Coturnix japonica: one gene and its partner. The protein of the gene in region 2 binds, or shares a complex with, the protein of the main gene of each other region. Links are inferred from orthologs where the notes say so. Each region holds a gene or a part of one and is shown on either strand. Other genes may lie near its edges. The genes, in order: NGF and NTRK1.

Evidence for each region.
Region 1: the proteins of NTRK1 (region 2) and NGF are in contact, whole or in part, in a crystal structure (PDB 1WWW), measured with the Homo sapiens proteins. The link is inferred for Coturnix japonica from reciprocal best matches to the Homo sapiens genes NTRK1 and NGF. Residues at the interface, in NP_002520.2 of Homo sapiens: His291, Val294, Glu295, Met296, His297, Cys300, Pro302, Phe303, Ser304, Leu333, Glu334, His343, Gly344, Cys345, Arg347, Thr352, His353, Met379, Asp380, Pro382; in NP_001424474.1 of Homo sapiens: His125, Pro126, Ile127, Phe128, Arg130, Gly131, Glu132, Phe133, Ser134, Ser138, Ser140, Trp142, Tyr173, Phe175, Arg180.

What each region holds. Positions count from the first base shown.
Region 1 is NC_029541.1:3,993,152-3,997,660, reverse strand, and holds the start of NGF (beta-nerve growth factor), read left to right. Parts: upstream 1-1,415; 5' UTR 1,416-1,481; intron 1,482-4,032; exon of another isoform or gene 4,033-4,397; intron 4,398-4,509. UniProt on the Homo sapiens protein: Nerve growth factor is important for the development and maintenance of the sympathetic and sensory nervous systems.
Region 2 is NC_029540.1:690,684-693,480, forward strand, and holds the end of NTRK1 (high affinity nerve growth factor receptor), read left to right. Parts: intron 1-866; coding exon 867-1,107; intron 1,108-1,264; coding exon 1,265-1,423; intron 1,424-1,572; coding exon 1,573-1,758; 3' UTR 1,759-2,119; downstream 2,120-2,797. UniProt on the Homo sapiens protein: Receptor tyrosine kinase involved in the development and the maturation of the central and peripheral nervous systems through regulation of proliferation, differentiation and survival of sympathetic and nervous neurons.

The DNA of each region.
Region 1 (4,509 bases), on a different chromosome or scaffold from region 2:
GCAGAGAAGATGGTCAGCCATAGCTGGGCATTGAAATAGCTGAGTCTGAAGGTATTCCAACACCTGTGCATGCTTTGCACAATCCAGAAATGCTTGTAATTGCTGCATTCTTTCAAACAACCATAAGGCAAAATCTCTGCTGAGTCTGAAGAGTAATGTAATGTTCATGTCATAGCTCTGCTTGGTCTGTATGCTGCTTCCAATGGGGTTACATCCTATGTCTGTAACTGCATTTGACAATCAAGACATCCTGGCTTCAGCAGGCTCAGGCCTCTGAGATGCCTGATACATACCCAGCTAACAGAGAGAGAAAAGATTAGCTCAGATCGCATCCACAACCCACCATAAACCAACGTTTCTCATCACCACTTGCTTTGAATTGCAGTGTATTAGAAATGTATTGTGTACAAATCGATTCCCCAATGTGCTGCATGCTGCGTGTTATCGATCCGGTTGAGAAGCCATACAGCCGAAACAGCCTCAGTCTGCACTCAGTAATTGTTTGTCTGACCTATTTATCCATAACCCACCAATGACTCTTCTGCTTTTTTCCAGTAGCTTCAGCCATACACATAATACTGTAAGGACACACAAAATAAGACAAAATAAACCACTAGATTATTGTAGCTTTTAAAATTATTCTTATTTTTTGCTACTAACACAAGAAGAGAACTTGCTTTAGGACAACTCCTCTTAACCTCCTGATTAACACAACAGGGACGAGTTCCCTCCAGGTAGGTAAAAAGGAAAATATTTCCTATTGCTTTACATCCACTTTAGCCCAAGGACAAGAACTCTCAGACAAGTTTACACAAGATAGCTGTGTTTTCCAGGCATTTGTGTAACTGATGGCTTTTCCTTTAGTAAAACAAACATTACCACTTTGAATGCTTCTCTTGAGATGTTTAAAACCCTTCTTGCACTCTCACATCCAAGCACTTCCCAGCACCTAGGAAACATCTTTTTCACATAGACACTTGATATTACAAGGATGTAAATAAGTGTGTTGGAAGAAATAGGTGTCATTATCTTCATCCCAACCCTCAACATCTCTCAGAGCTTGAATTTGTGAGTTCCTCTCAGCGCTCTGACTCCTCCATAAAGGTTGTAGGAAGAGCAGCTGCTCTCATCTGTGTTGCTTCCACAGCCATAAAGATTTCAGAAATAATCCAGCACTGCTTTTATTTTTGGCAGCTTTTTTTCTTCAAAGAGCATTGGTTCTAAAAGGAAAACTGTAAGGGAAGCCTTAGGTTGGGGCTTGAACTGGTGATGGAGCACCTGGTGAAGGGGTGCTGTTGGCCTAAGGAGCAAACTGTTTGCACCTGTGCTCTCCCATGTGCCCAGATGGGCTGGACTCAATGCAGAGCCATCGTGGGTATATAAGGGTATATAAGGAGCAGCCATGGATAGGAGAGCTACTCTTGATTCTTGGCTGCTTCCTGAGGAATGCTGCATTGCCAGTGAGCCTTTCTGCCATCTGGGTGAGTTCAATTCTTCTTTTTGTATACGACTATTGGTCTACTTTGAATGTTTTGCTTGGTATTGTCAGCAGCTGTTTTTAACCTTTTTGAGCAAGACAAAAAGCTTCATTGCTTCTTCTCAGACACCTTCCATGATGTGTTTTCAGTAGCACAAAGGCACCAACTCCAGCAGAAATGCCCCTACAGTCCTTAAGCCTGCTTACAATACTGAACATACCATGTAGGCATAGGGCACAATTTTCATACCCTGTGAGTCTTCCAAGGTGATAATGTAGAAGGAAGCGGTGATGTTGTAAGACAAGGCTATGGCAATGCACAGCTGCTGCTGAGGGCTTAGGTCAATGCTTACTTCAGCCCTGGGGTCAGCAAAGCACAAAGTGCTTTACCTGTAGCCACATCTCTCAGCAGTGACAATATTTGTTTTGGTGTGAGTGCTCTTGTTTCTTTGGAATGTTACTGTGCTGTGTGGCAGTGCTTCTTAGGAAAGCACTGAATGTAATCTTAGGGGGAATATGATTTAAGGATGCTTATACAGGATGCAACAGGGAGCTTGGAACTGTCACAGAGGCAGAGAAATAAGTGGATGTAAACCTGCAGAGGACCAGGATTCACTGGTTCTGTGCTCACAGAGCTCTATATAGAGTTTCCCCTCTGATTCCAGAGCACACCTTCCCTTATGCAGCCTGACATCACTCTCCTTCACCTTTCGTGTAGCAGCTTGTCAAAGCAAGAGAACCTTCAGCTCACAAAGGTTAAGAGCAAGCATCCACGTGGTGGAACCTTTAAAATCTGTGTTTCAAAGCACTGTTAGAAGGAGGAGATCTGACCTCTGTGTGATGCTTTCAGCCACTCAGCTCTGACTATAGCAGTCCACCTGGAATTAAACACACTGTGTGTGCCCATAGCACCGCACCTACTCCAGAAGCTAAAATGGTGTTTGCTTGGGGTATGTGGGAGCATAAAAGCAGTGACTATGTGCCAGTGCTTTATCCCATAGATTGCTGCCGCTGGTGTGAGCTCAGGAGGTAGAAGAGTAAGGTGGAAGAGGAGTGTTTAGACAGAAATAATGTGTCAGATTAAGTACAAATACTATCATTACAGTGCTCCAGAGAGCTTTTGTGGCCACACACTTAAGAAAAAGGCAGCTTTTCCAAGAAATCTGTTGTAGAGATGCTGAGCATTAACATCTTATCTGCTTTGATGTTGTTTGCTGCAGCCGCAGCCCTTCAAACTCTGCAGCTCAAAGCCATCATCTGTGTATATTCTAGGAAATAGGTGCGGCAAATGCTCCCTCAGCACGGGGGTTGTTTGGTATTTCTGCAGTGAAATATGAAGTTAAGGCCAACTCCTGAGGTCAGGTTTTACAGGCAGCACTTCACACACTCTGATGACTGTCTGTGCAATTGAAAAAGGCTTTGGCCTCTGTGGATAATGTGTGGAAAGCATTTTTCTTGTAGAAAAACAAAGCAATTTGAGCTGCGGAATTCTGGCAAACCGGGGAGGTAGTTCTTGCAGTTGCATTAATCATGTTGTATATAGAACTTCCTTAAAGATGATTCAGGCCATTTTTAAACAGACACCACTTTAAAGTCCAGCGCTGAAGCTGCTGTTTTGTTTGGCACTATGAGACAGGAACAAGAGTTGTCTTCTAAGCTTAATAAGATATGAAGATCAGCTTGGTACATGTTCAAAGAGCAACACATGTGGCAAATAAGAAACACTATGATCTCCAAGCTGGTTTTTCCCTCTTGCTCCACACCTTTATGTGTTATCTTCCACATGTTGGTGTTTTTTCCCCTTGACCAAAAGATCATAGGGATGAGTCTCAGGATGGCTGCCCTCTTCTGGGTGGAATGGAAAGATGTTTATTATTGCCACACTGAGAAAATGCAGCGCTCTTATTTTCCGGGGGGGATAACGTAATGATTTTTGTTGCTCCTCTGTGCAATCACAAAAGTTAAATGGTGATGGAATGAGAATGGTGAGATCCCAGGTGGCCGCTTTGCAGTTCCCAGTGTAGGCAGCCAACTGCCTGTGGCTTTTCTTTATCTTCTATAGTTCTCCACTTTTGTGTTCCTTCTGTTGTTTATCAGTGCTTAAAACGCACCATTGTTTCCTTGCTGCATGTACTTAATCCCCCTTCATAAAAAATAATGGAAAACATTTCCCTATCTCTTTGCTGCTTAAGGTAAGCATGTTAAACACCGAATATTATGGCTGGAAGGGATTTTACATAATCTTTTCCTCTGCCCCAAGTCAGGATCAAATATTTCTTTGCTACTCTTGAGCTGCGTTTGGCTGAGCCCTGTTAAAGAGGGCCAATAGTGGGGATTTCTGCAGGCAACTCAGTGCACTGCTTCCCCAGTTAACTATTAGCATTCCTTCAGGTTTGTTTGTCGACAGATGACATGAGTGAAGGGCTCCAGAGATTAATTTCAAAAAGACCCATTAATTACAGAGCTCGGAGTTTGTTTAATTGGAGTGCAGGGATTAAGATGCAAAGTAGAAATGCTGGAGACCTAAGAAAAGAATCCCTTAAAGAGAGTGTCAGCTCTTGACAGTGGAACCAGGAAGTCAGAGGCTTTTCTTGCTATTATGCATGCACAGTCATACAACCAGTGCATGCTTTCAAACTTTCACTGCACATCTGTCCATCACTGCACGGGTTCGGCACCAAGCCAGCAGCAGAATTCCTACGAGTCTGTGCAGCTCCCACACGTTTACAGCACTAGGACCCTGAGGGAGCTTGATTTCTGTGAGTCAGTGCAGCTAGCTGAGCCCTGAGAGCAGTGAATGAGGCTGGGAAGGCAGAGGGAATGTGAATGGCTCTTCTGGCTTGGGAAAGTATCCGCAGACTGGGGTGCTACAGACTACAAAACAGCCTGGACAGCCTTCCAGATTCCCGTCCCCTCTAAGGTGAGTGACCACGCAGCAGCAGTTTTCACAAAGCGAGTTGTGTGGGATTGAACGAGTTGTGGAAGTTTGGGATCTTCAGCATCAGCCGATGTGTTTTCTGCTGTGCACTGAT
Region 2 (2,797 bases):
TAATGCAGCCCTCCTTGCAATATTGATTAGATTAGCTGTCTGAGAGGCTTAAATAGAGAGAGATTGGCCATCAGCTGGAATAAGCAGAGACTTTTCGATTGGCCCCCCAGGTATTGCTGATAGACGGGGGGGCTGCCAGAGGCATCGCTTTAGTGGCCACGCGATGAGCTCTGAGACGTGGCTTTTATGATTATTGTTATGGGACTTGGCATTAATGGTTCTGCCGAGCAGAGCCCCCTGCTCCCGGTCCAGCCTCCCCAGCCCGGCTGTCAGCAGCACTGGGCATCAAAGCAATGTGCAGCCCCCGGCCTGCTCTCACCCTTGCTCTATGCACGCCTGCTGCTTTCACACCTCCTGGCACCCAATGATGCACAGCTCAGTGCTGCCGATGTGTGAACAGCATTCCTGATGTGTGCATGCATGGGATTCCTTGCTGTGGGTGCTCTCGTGTGTGCACTAGCACCGTATGCATGCATGTGTGCACTCATATGCCTGGCTTCTCCTGCATGCATGCATACGCAGGTTGATCTGTATGTTCTTTAGCATGCATGCACACACATGCACAGCTTTCCTTGGCATGGTTGCACACTTACACACAGCCCTCTCTGTCCTGGGCTTACACACGTGTGCATACACACATATGCCTTCCTGCAGGCATGCACACACACATGCACTCCCTTCCCCACCATGCATGCACACACCTTGCATGGCTGCATACATACATGCATGTACTTTCCCTGCACGCAAGCACAGCATTTCCCAGCACATGTGCAAACACACACACAGCACTTCCAGGCACAAATGCACACACCTGCACACCTTTCCCCTGCATACATGCACACACTGATCACCCTCTGCCCTGCTAGATCCCATGGACCAGATGCAAAGATCCTGGACCAAGGGCAGGGGCAGCCCTGCGGGCAGCTGACACTGAGCCACATGCTGCAGATTGCAACGCAGATCGCTTCAGGTATGGTCTACCTGGCATCCCTGCACTTCGTGCACCGTGACCTGGCCACCCGTAACTGCCTGGTGGGCCACGACCTGGTGGTTAAAATTGGGGACTTTGGTATGTCCCGTGATATCTACAGCACCGACTACTACCGGGTGAGTTCCACACCCTCCCTACCTCTAATTTCCATCTCATCTACTGCCCCTTTCCCCAACCCCATCCATATTTAATGGCGCTGCTGAGCACTCAGCAGGGAGGGGAAGGGTTGGGGGGTTGCGGGGGGGGATACACACTGATGGTTCTGCTTTGCAGGTTGGGGGTCACACCATGCTGCCCATCCGCTGGATGCCCCCTGAGAGCATCTTGTACCGCAAGTTCACCACTGAGAGTGACATCTGGAGCTTCGGTGTGGTGCTGTGGGAGATCTTCACCTATGGGAAGCAGCCCTGGTACCAACTCTCCAACACCGAGGTGGGCTCAACATGGGGTCTCACATGGGGCTGAGTGTGAAGCCGGGCTTGGCACCATGTCCACACGTGGGATGGGGGGAAGCAAGGAACCCCCTTGCTTTGTGGGGTCTGGGTGCTTGCTGTGTGCTCCATATCCCCCTGTTCCCATAGGCCATCGAGTGCATCACGCAGGGCCGGGAGCTGGAGCGGCCCCGCACGTGTCCCTCTGAAGTGTATGATATCATGCAGAGCTGCTGGCAACGGGAGCCACAGCAGCGTCAGCGCATCCAGGACATCCACAGCCGCCTGCAGGCCCTGGTTAAGACCCCTCCTATCTACCTGGATATCCTGGGCTGAGAGGGAACCCCATCACCCCCAGGCTGGCTGGAGTGCTCTAGCACTGCTCCCTCTGTCCCCCCAACCCTGGACTGATGCCCTGATGCTGGAGAGGGCTTAAACCATCTGTCACAGCAAGACCCCTGGGGGGGGCTGTAGGGCTGGAGCTGCTTCCATAGGGGGCTGTAGCTGTGGCATTTCCCCCACTGTGGATTTGCCCCTGGAGAGACACAACCAGGACCCCCAGCCCCATGGGTGGCACTTGGCTGCTCAGTGTCATGGCTGTTCCATCCCTTCCCATCCCAGCACCTGGCTGGGTGGATGCCCCGCGTGCTCTCCCAATCTGCAGTGATCCTGGTCAGTAATAAAATTGTCCATTTCTCTGCTGCGCTGCCAGCTGGCTGCCCCATGGAGTGTCTGCTGGGTGCCTGGGGGAGGGAGGTGCTTTGGGGAGATAGAAGGGCTTTTTGGAGCAGGGGAAGAGGAACAGAGGGGGTGTGGTTGTATGGGGAAGGCTTGTCCCTACTCTATGGCATTGGGTGAGGTATAGGTTGGTGGTGGGTTTGGGTTAGGAAAAGAGTGAGGATGTGCAAAGCCAAGGTGTAGGTGAGGGGGATGCTGTCCCCAGCCCAGAGAGGGACATAGGGACACTTCAGGGACCCTCTGGCTGGCCTGGGGCTGTGCACAGTGGATGGGTCCCTGTGCCTGAGGTGTAGGGTGGGGACCTTTTGAGCACAAAGGGATGAAGAAGCCAAACCCCCCAAACAAAGGGCAAAGCCCTCCCTTCCCCACACACCGTCACCGGAGCCATGGGGTTATCAAATGCCCTGTAGCGTCCACTTAATCATCCTTCCCAGGGCTCTCCGGCCGCCTTGGTAATGTTTGAGACCTGGATTTGACTGTAATGGAGCAGAATTGATTTCATCTGGCTAATTAGGCAGGGCAGGCTGGGCCCTGGCAGCTCCTTTGTTACCCACAGTGACCTGAGATAAGAAGGAAGAGGAGACCTGGGGAAACTGAGGCACAGTGCATCACTGTGCCATGGAGCAGCTCTGTGCCA